3 linked regions of the Callithrix jacchus genome follow. The protein of the gene in region 3 interacts with the protein of the main gene of each other region in a pairwise test. Links are inferred from orthologs where the notes say so. Each region holds a gene or a part of one and is shown on either strand. Other genes may lie near its edges.

What was found.
Region 1: the proteins of HSPB1 (region 3) and NVL interact in binary tests that used the Homo sapiens proteins (3 or more experiments, as listed by UniProt). The link is inferred for Callithrix jacchus from reciprocal best matches to the Homo sapiens genes HSPB1 and NVL.
Region 2: the proteins of HSPB1 (region 3) and PELO interact in binary tests that used the Homo sapiens proteins (3 or more experiments, as listed by UniProt). The link is inferred for Callithrix jacchus from reciprocal best matches to the Homo sapiens genes HSPB1 and PELO.

Annotation. Positions count from the first base shown.
Region 1 is NC_133520.1:4,688,968-4,692,622, reverse strand, and holds part of NVL (nuclear valosin-containing protein-like), read right to left. Parts: intron 3,572-3,655; coding exon 3,322-3,571; intron 1,799-3,321; coding exon 1,580-1,798; intron 1-1,579. UniProt on the Homo sapiens protein: Participates in the assembly of the telomerase holoenzyme and effecting of telomerase activity via its interaction with TERT. Involved in both early and late stages of the pre-rRNA processing pathways.
Region 2 is NC_133503.1:157,029,622-157,032,165, forward strand, and holds the end of PELO (protein pelota homolog), read right to left. Parts: 5' UTR 2,204-2,544; coding exon 1,478-2,203; intron 1,193-1,477; coding exon 761-1,192; 3' UTR 559-760; downstream 1-558. UniProt on the Homo sapiens protein: Component of the Pelota-HBS1L complex, a complex that recognizes stalled ribosomes and triggers the No-Go Decay (NGD) pathway.
Region 3 is NC_133503.1:11,064,013-11,067,734, forward strand, and holds HSPB1 (heat shock protein beta-1), read left to right. Parts: upstream 1-1,579; 5' UTR 1,580-1,619; coding exon 1,620-1,983; exon of another isoform or gene 1,984-2,424; intron 2,425-2,666; coding exon 2,667-2,730; intron 2,731-2,841; coding exon 2,842-3,031; 3' UTR 3,032-3,151; downstream 3,152-3,722. UniProt on the Homo sapiens protein: Small heat shock protein which functions as a molecular chaperone probably maintaining denatured proteins in a folding-competent state. Plays a role in stress resistance and actin organization.

The DNA.
Region 1 (3,655 bases), on a different chromosome or scaffold from region 3:
ACCCCATCTCTACTAATACAAAAAATTAGCTGAGCGTGGCAGTGTGCACCTGTAATCCCAGCTACTTGGGAGGCTGAGGCAGGAGAATCGCTTGAACCTGGGAGGCAGAGGTTGCAGTGAGCCAAGATGGTGCCACTGCACTCCAGCCTCGGTGACACAGCGAGACTCTGCCTCCCCCCACCCAAAAAAAAGTAAATAAAAATTAATCCAAAGTTTCATGTGCATTAAAACTGCCTTGACCCATACGAGTATTATCAGGTTCAGAAAGTCTTTGTCAAACAATTTGGTCTTGATTGAAAGCATAAGTTTTTTGTTGCTGTTTAAACTCACTGCTATAGAAATAAAGCACAACCGAAAGGATCAGCATAAAATAGGTCTCAATGAAATATTATTCAGCCACAAAAATGAATGAAATCCTGTCATTTGCGGCAACATGGATGGAACTAGAGGTCATTATGTTACTGAAATAAACCAGGCACAGAAAGGCAAATATTGCACATTCTTACTCATAACGGGAGTCAATAAAGTGGACCTCATGGAGATGGAGAGCAGATTGATAGTTACCAGAGGCTGGGAACGGAAAGCAGGGAGGAAGGAGTATGATAAAGAAAAGTTGGTTAAAGGGTTAAAAAAACACAGGCTGAGCACGATGGCTCACGCCTGTAATCCCAGCACTTTGGGAAGCCAAGGCAGGTGGATCATGAGGTCAGAAGATCAAGACCATCCTGGCCATCATGGTGAAACCCCGTCTTTACTAAAATATAAAAAAAAATTAGTGGAGCATGGTAGCACGTGCCTGTAGTCCCAGTTACTCGAGAGGCTGAGGCAGGGAATTGCTTGAACCTAGGAGGTGAAGGCTGTACTGAGCCGAGATGGCACCACTGCACTCCAACCTGGCGACAGTGTGAGACTTCTTCTCAAAAAAAAATAATAATACACACACACACACACACACACACACACACACACTGCACTCCAACCTGGCGACAGTGTGAGACTTCTCAAAAAAAAAAATAATACACACACACACACACACACACACACTGCACTCCAACCTGGCGACAGTGTGAGACTTCTTCTCAGAAAAAAAATAATAACACACACACACGAGTTTGGTGTTAGGTTGTTAGGTAGGAGCAGTAAGTTCTGGTATTTCATAGCACAGTAGGGAAATAATATTTCAAAACAGTTAAAAGAAAAAAGCATATTTCAAAATAGCTAGAAGAAAAAAGTATATTTCAAAATAGCTATAAGGAAAAAAGTGTAATGTTCCCAACACAAAGAAAACATAAACATTTGAGGTGACAAATATCCCAATTACTCTGACTTCATCGTTACCCATTTAATACATGTATCGAAATACCATATGCACCCCCAAAATATTTACAACTATGATACATCAATTTAAAAAATGAACAAATAAACTGGATCTCAAAAGAAAAACCATTGTGGGGGGCACTTGAAAAAAGTGTTATATTCAAGTCAGTTTAGACACAGAACCTAGTACACATGCACGGAGCTTTATCTCTGGTCCTTAATCCATGACATGCCAGTAATATTTGGCAGCTGATATACCTACCAATATTGCCATGGTGAGCTCCTCTCTAATGTCTTCCAGGGCACCAATATCTGCCCATGTCACATTAGGGACAGTGACAAAGCCTTCCCTTTTGGCAGAGGGTTGGACTGAGGATAGAGCAACAATGAAATCATTCAGTTCAATGCACAGTCCTTGCATCTGCTCCTCTGAGAGGGGATCTTGGTCTCTTAGCAACCCCAGCAGCCTTTGTAATTCATCCTTGAAGGGAACAATTGAGGGGGAAAAAAATAAAAAACCACCACAACAGTTATTGAAAAGTTACATTTTCTACTTGAAAAAATTATTACTGCAGTATTTCTGCAATCTATCCTGAACTTCTACGTATTTCAATAATTTTCTCTCTGACATGAGACATGTTCATTTTACTCTAAAGGATCATATGCTCTGATCAAGTAAAGATACACCAATTATAATTATAATTAAATATATAAGAATGATTTCTAGATACTATTTTTAGGGGTAAGCATAGCAAATATAAGCAGTTGGCAAATACTTATTTCAGCAACCATGATATTTCCCATGTTTCATTTATAAATATTCAATGAAATTCATCAGCTGAATTCTGATGAAATTAAAACAAAGATATGCTAGAGGTAGTATAATTCATGAATATGGTTCCTTGATGGATTATAAACTATGTAGAGGCAAGGCAACTTTCCTATTACCATTAAATCTTAAATTTAAGAGGCAGATTTCTTGCTTTGTGAGGGAACATGAAAAGACAAGTCTAAAAAACAGGTAACCAATTAATTCAACTTGTAAAATATTAATTTATATGCAATATTTTTTAATGAAATCTGATGGTTTTATATCCCATGCAATATTATAAAAGAAATGAGTTTGCTATATTTTACGGAAGTAATTGCAGTTTCAAATGACAAAGAAAAAAACAAATTATCTGAGAACAGAAGATGTGTGTTTAAGCTCCTGCTCTGTAAAGTAGAGGTTGTATGGCCTTGGGCAAATTACAGCCTCTCTCTTAAGCTTAGTGCCTTTGATTAATTATAAAACGGGGAAAGTAATGATATTTATATAAGGTCACAGGGATCAAATTATATAACGCAGAAGCCATCTGTGCAAGCTATAAAATGCTATATATATTGAGTTTTCATGACTCACAAAACTAAAAAATTTAATATTGATCTTAGACTGATAAATGTCCCCTCATTCACATGACTGTCCGCCAGAGCTATCTGCAGCTAAGATCTGGATATTGCTGTGTCAACAGACCATCCAAAAGCTAACCAGGAGATATAATTAAACGCCAATGCCAAAACAGGGGTTGACAATCTTTTTCTGTAAAGGACTAGACTGTAAACACTGTAGACTTTGTGGGCCACAGTCTCTGCTGCAGACTCCTGTGTGAATTCTGCCGTGAAATGAAAGCAGAAACAGACAAGTATACAAATGAACATGGCTGTGTTCCAATATAACTTTAATCTACAAAAACAGGTGGTGGGTGGGTAGGCCACAGTCTGTCAACACCATTCCAGAATTTCATAATCATTATTGTAAAATAAATTTATTCAGAATAAACTAAACATAAAACAACTCACATTTTTGAAATTATACACATTGTGGGTATAACTGATAATTATCTTATAGATTGAATGCCAATAAAACAAGAAATAATAAACCTCAACTATATTGACCCTTACTTCAACGTAAGATAACACAAAGAACATTAAATGGACACTTGAAGGTGCCTTTAGAGAAAACACCTGTGTTTCAGAAGTGGGCTCAGTTCCCAGCCTTTCCTCCTGGACTCCTTTAGATGGCAAATCATCCATTTCCGGATCTTTCTTCTGCTGTTCCTGTAGCTTCATTAAGACTCTATTGACTGCACACATTGCTGCCTCTCGGCACAGTGCCATCAGATCAGCACCAACAAAGCCTGGAGTTAGGTGTGCTAAGTGACAGAAGTCAAAAGCCTGAGGAAGCCTCAGTTTTCTGCACAATGTTTGAAGTATTCTATAGAAAAGACAGGGAAAAATATTTCAGATTCCTCATCTAATACTAAAAACAAGTCACCAAATATATTTATTTGAAGTCCTT
Region 2 (2,544 bases), about 150 Mb from region 3:
CCATATAATAGCAAATCACATTATTTAGTCTAATTTAAAAAAATAAAGATGCCTCAAAAAGATTATTTTGACAATCCCTAGCAGATCAAAGCTCTAAAATCTAAAAACAACGAATTAAGTGACCCTCTAAATCAAATATGACTAATTCTAAAGACAACAAAACAAAACCAAGCATTTCCTGTCAACGTGACTGGTTTAACATGTTTTAAGAAAAATATTTAAAACTTGTCTTTGAGTCTATTAATTGCATGGCAATCATTTAAAATAGTAAAACTCCTTAAATTAAAAAAAAATGCAGTGTGTGGAGGTGGGGAGAAGAGGGATCATTAAATGCAATGCAAGAATACCATGCAGAATTAAAATAAATGATGTAAACTGAGGATAAGGTAGCAAATACTTTTTCTAAGGAAAACTGTTTCAAAGCATGCAGTATGAAATTTCATGATCTATCCCAAACAACATACTGCATAGGCAATGTTATTAAATACACGTTTTCTGTTTCCAAGTACTACAAATAACTCATTATTCCTATACAAAATTAATTAATAAAAATGGTAGTACGTGGTGATTATTTTTTAGTTTATTGTTTAAATACATGACTTGCCAATCACAAAATATCTAGTGTAACCAAATACATAAGAATCCCTGTGTGAATCAAAAAGTGCCACTCTTGCAGCTTTCTGTCACAAGGATGCTGAGAAATGTACTGTAATAGTTTAGGAGTGAGACACAAGATAGTCTCAATTTTAAGTTTGAATCATTAATCCTCTTCAGAACTGGAATCATCCTCTTGGTCAGAGAGTTCAGGAACAGGGAAGCGGAGAATGGCAGCTACTCCAGTCAATTGGCTGAGCTGTTCCCCAGAAACGTGAAGACTAGAGAATATCCTAACGGTGCCTGCGTTCTCTTTCACACTGTCCACCAGCCTCACATACCGGCTCCGTGTGGCTACATCCTGATGCCTGAAGAGCTCATCGCTGATGAGCAATGTGTCAATTGCCATGGCTTCATTGGCCTTCTCTACCTGCTTGAGTCCATAGAAAGCTCGATCTGGTTCATGTTGTAACATTTTATAGAAGTCATCCAAGGCTTTGACTTCCCCAGCAGCTTTAGTATCTGAAAGGCGGCTAGCTACAGTAGGGTCACAAAGGGCCTCTTTCAGGGAGTACTTGTGTCCGGAGGAGGCATGTACCTAAAATCACAATTACAAAAGTTAGGCAAAATAATCTCTTAGAACACCCATTAATCAGCCCACAAAGGCTTAAAGCCAAAAGCACTAACAAGGCTTTATATGTTTAAGGAATTCAGCAAAGTTTACGTAGTCATTTAACATTCTCTTTTTACTTCATTATCTCATGATAATCTCAGCTAAGTAAAAGACTTTCTCTTCTCATTTTTCCTAGTTCTAAAACTTTAGTAGTAGTTTATACAAATCCCTCTGCCCGTTCTTAACTATCCCTGGGTAAGATTGTTTTACCTGAAGAAATTTGGATCGGTTTTCCAAGAGCAGTTTGTTGTCGGTCTTCACAGCTTGTTGAAACATGTAGTCGCAGAACTGCTCCCTCACAAATCCTGGGCTGGCCACCAGGACGCACTTGACAACATCAAAGTGTATGTGACGCTGGATAGCCTGGACCACCTGTTCATAGAACCGCTCCAAGGCCCGGTCATGCTGAGAGCAATTGCCTTTCCTTTTCCTAGGGATGTTCACCTCCACCTTGGCCCGAGTGAGGGTCATGCTGGGAGTGACTAAGCAGATATGGGCGAGGCCTTCCTGCATGACCACAGCTGCCACATCAGCGCTCCAAGCTGGGTCACAGGCCTGCTCGATGCGCTCGAGAACCACGCTGTCCCACTGTTTCTTGGCCAGGGTGAACTGGCGGTTGGGCTCCAGCTCGATGGTGTGGTAAGCTCCCATCTTGACATACTCATTCTCTTGGATGTTGGTCCCCTTAACCCGCAGCTGGCAGGCTTGAGAGTCGAAGTCAATGGCCTCCACACAGAGAGTGAGGGTAGTGCGGACCCGGTTGCTGCCCACGCTGCCCGTGGAGGACTCGGTCTGTACCTTGCGGATAGTGGAGGCGCGCAGGCTGTCACCCACCTGCACGAGGTTGTAAGTGTGCCACATGTCCTCGGGCTCCTCGGGGACCAGGGTCACCTGGCCCGCATTGTCCTTCTCTATGTTCTTCCTCACGAGCTTCATGGCCTAGCAGGGGCTCAGTGACAGAACTAGAGGAGCCAAGGAGGTCCTCACCTCCGCCCAGGGAGAGGGGATGAGAGTGTAGGGCGGGAAGGGGGCGGGGCCCGGTTCCTACGGGTACTTGCCTGGCGGGAAGAAGATACTCTTGCTTCTACTCATACAGCCGAGGAGAGCACTTCCGCTATCCTTTCGTCTCTGGGTTTCCGGGCGGGCTGCGCCTAACAGGCGCGGGAGACACAGCGGCGAACAGCGTCTTCTCCACTGCTCCCGTTGGCAGCATGGAGCAGCGGGCTGATGTAATGAAGGCGCATGCGCAGTCCGCGTCGCGCGCCTAGTCGCACGTC
Region 3 (3,722 bases):
CCAGCTACTCAGGAGGCTGAGGCAGGAGAATCATTTGAACCCTTGAGGCAGAGGTTGCGGTGAGCTGAGATCCTGCTTATGCATTCCAGACTGGGTATGCAAAAGAGCAAAACTCCATCTCAAATTTAAAAAATATAAATCAACAAAACCACAGTAATATAATTTTTTGTTTTGTTTTTTGAAACAGGGTGGGCCAGGTGTGGTGGCTCATGCCTGTAATCCAAGCACTTTGGAGGCCAAGGCGGGCGGATCACCTGAGGTCGGGAGATCAAGACCAGCCTGATCAACATGGTGAAACCCCCTCTTAAGAAAAAAAAAAAGGAAAAGAAACAGGGTCTTGTTCTGTTATGCAGACTGGAGTGCAGTGGCACAATCAGGCTCACTGCAGCCTCCTGGGCTCAAATGATCCTCCCACCTCAGCCTTCTGAGTAGCTGGAACTACAGATGCACGCCACCATCCCCAGCTAATTTGTTTTGAATTTTAGTAGAAATGGGGTCTCACTGTGTTGCCCAGGCTGGTCACAAATTCCTTGCTTCAAGTAATCCTCCCACCTTAACCTCCCAAAGCCCACACACCTTGCAACCACACAGATTGTCAGATTCCTTTTTTTTTTTTTTTTTTTTTTGAGATGGAGTTTCGCTCTTGTTACCCAGACTGGAGTGCAATGGCACGATCTCGGCTCACTGCAACCTCCGCCTCCTGGGTTCAAGCAATTCTCCTGCCTCAGCCTCCCGAGTAGCTGGGACTACAGGCACGCACCACCATGCCCAGCTAATATTTGTATTTTTAGTAGGGACGGGGTTTCACCTTGTTGACCAGGATGGTCTCGATCTCTTGACCTCGTGATCCACCCGCCTCGGCCTCCCAAAGTGCTGGGATTATAGGCGTGAGCCACCACGCCCAGCCATCCAGCTAATTTTTAAACATTTTTTGGTAGAGGTGAGGTCTCACCATGTTGCCCAGAATGGTCTCAAACTCCCGGCCTCAAGGGATCCATCCTTCCTGCCTTGGCCTCCCAAAGTGCCGATTACAGGCATGAGCCATGCACCCAGCCCCTTTTTATTTTTTTGAGACAGGGCCTTGCTCTGTTGCCTAGGCTGGAGTGCGGCGGTGAGAACATAGCTCACTACAGCCTCGAACTCCTGGACTCAAGCACCAGACTGCTTTACATCACATTCCACACACAGCCTTGTGGTTCCAACCCTGCCTCTGCCACTTCCCAGCTGTTTGCCCCAGCCCAACCTGTCTGGCGCTGTCCTGCTTAACAAAAGGACTGGCCTGGCCGCCGGCCACACCCGCCAGCGCTGAAGCACCAGGGCCTCCGAGTGCCCTAGTGTGGCACGTCTCCAGCGTCGCACTCTCGAACTCATTTGTTTTCCTTAACGAGAGAAGGTTCCAGATTGGGGCAGAACCCTCTTCGCCCCGCCCACGGCCCCCTGAACTCTGCGGATGGGGGGGAGGGGTGCATGGGGAGAGGCGGTCCCAAACGGGTCATTTCCATTAATAGAGACCTCAAACACCGCCTGCTAAAAATACCCAACCGGAGGCACATAAAAGCGCGACCCAGCACCGCGGCCCGCACTTCTCCGAGCAGACGTCCCGGGCAGAGCCAGCCAGCATGACCGAGCGCCGCGTCCCCTTCTCGCTCCTGCGGAGCCCCAGCTGGGACCCCTTCCGCGACTGGTACCCGCACAACCGTCTCTTCGACCAGGCATTCGGGATGCCCCGGCTGCCCGAGGAGTGGTCGCAGTGGTTCGGCACCAGCAGCTGGCCGGGCTACGTGCGCCCCCTGCCCCCCGCCGCGGTCGAGGGCCCCGCAGTGGCCGCGCCCGCCTACAGCCGCGCGCTCAGCCGGCAGCTCAGCAGCGGGGTCTCGGAGATCCGGCACACGGCGGACCGCTGGCGCGTGTCCCTGGACGTCAACCACTTCGCCCCCGAGGAGCTGACGGTCAAGACCAAGGATGGCGTGGTGGAGATCACCGGTGAGCACCCCCTGGCCCTGCAGGGGAGGGGAGGAGGCTAGCGGGGAGGGCGGGGCCCGGGGGTGCGGTTGAAACCCCGGGCCTGGGGAGTTAAAAGTTAGCCCAGCACCGGGAAAAACGGGATCCGTCCGTGATTCCCCTGCTCAGGAATCGGGAGTGCAGGTCGCTTCTAAGGTCGCTTTCTGCTCTGTTATCTCAGCGCCTTGGGAGGCGGAGGCCAGGAGTTCAAGACTAGCCTGGGCAATATAGCGAGACCTCCCCCCCTACCAACTACAAGAAAATTAAAAAGCAACCAAAAATGTTTTAAAAGATCATCGGTGAAGAAATGCTTCTTTCCACGGAACTCTCTCCCCACCCGCAGCCCCATCCGCAGATAAGCGGGTCCCCTGGCGTGGTCCCTGTCCCTAGCCGCGCGAGGGGCGTGCGTGCTCCTCCCAGTGCGCCTGCGCGTTGCTCCCTCCGCCCCTCGGCACCCTGCTCCGTTCCTCCCAAAACTCTTACTCGAACTTTCCGGAAGTTTCTGAGAGCCCGGACAGGCCGGCACGCCCCCACCCCCAGTCTCCTCTGTTAATCCCTGCCAGCCTGCAGTCCTGGCTGCCTCCAAGCTGGAGGTGGGGCCTCTGGCCTGGCGGGGCCGAGAGTCGGTCCCCTTTCCCTCATTCTGATTTTCCTGTCCCCCGAAGGCAAGCACGAGGAGCGGCAGGATGAGCACGGATTCATCTCCCGCTGCTTCACCCGGAAATACTCGTGAGTCCTGCCGCCAGGTCGGGGTGGGTGGGTGCCGGGGGCTAGGGAGGAGGGCACAGGGACCCACCCGAAGTGTAATGTAACGTTCACATTCCCTCTCTGCACGTCCAGGCTGCCCCCTGGTGTGGACCCCACCCAGGTCTCCTCCTCCCTGTCCCCTGAGGGCACACTGACCGTTGAGGCCCCCATGCCCAAGCCAGCCACACAGTCCAACGAGATCACCATCCCTGTCACCTTCGAGTCGCGGGCCCAGCTTGGGGGCCCAGAAGCTGCGAAATCTGACCAGTCTGCAGCCAAGTAAAAGCCTTAGCCCGGATGCCCACCCGTGCCGCCGCCACTGGCCATGCCTCCCCCCCCACCTGTGTGTTCTTTTGATACGTTTATTTGTTTTTCTCAAATAAAGTTTGAAGCAACCCACCTGTCACTGGCTCAGACCCTGGTGTTTGTGGAAGGAAGCTTCGGGCACCTGCCATTCCCTGGCTTACACTAGCCACCTTTGCTCAGGGTGTGCTGGGTGCACAGCCCCGTGCTGGGCCATGTGGGTACTCCCGTGTAGGTTGCTAGGCACAGGCTAATTCACATCCATAAAGACAGAGAGGTCCTATTGCCCGGCATTGTGGCTCAGACCTGCAATACCAGCACTTTGGTAAGTTGAGGCAGGAGGATTGCTTGAAGCTGAGAGTTCAAGACCAGCCTGGACAACACAGTGAGACCCTATCTCTTAAAAATAAAAAGCCAGTTGCAGTGGCTCATGCCTGTAATCCCAGCACTTTGGGAGGCTGAGGGGAGCAGGTCATGAGGTCAGGAGTTCGAGACCAGCCTGACCAACATGCTGAAACCCCATCTCTACCAAAAATACAAAAATTAGCCAGGCGTAGTAGCATATGCCTGTAATGTCAGCTACTCAGGAGGCTAAGACAGGAGAATCACTTGAACCTGGGAGGCAGAGGTTGTGGTGAGCCGAGATTGTGCCACTGCACTCCAGCCTGGGT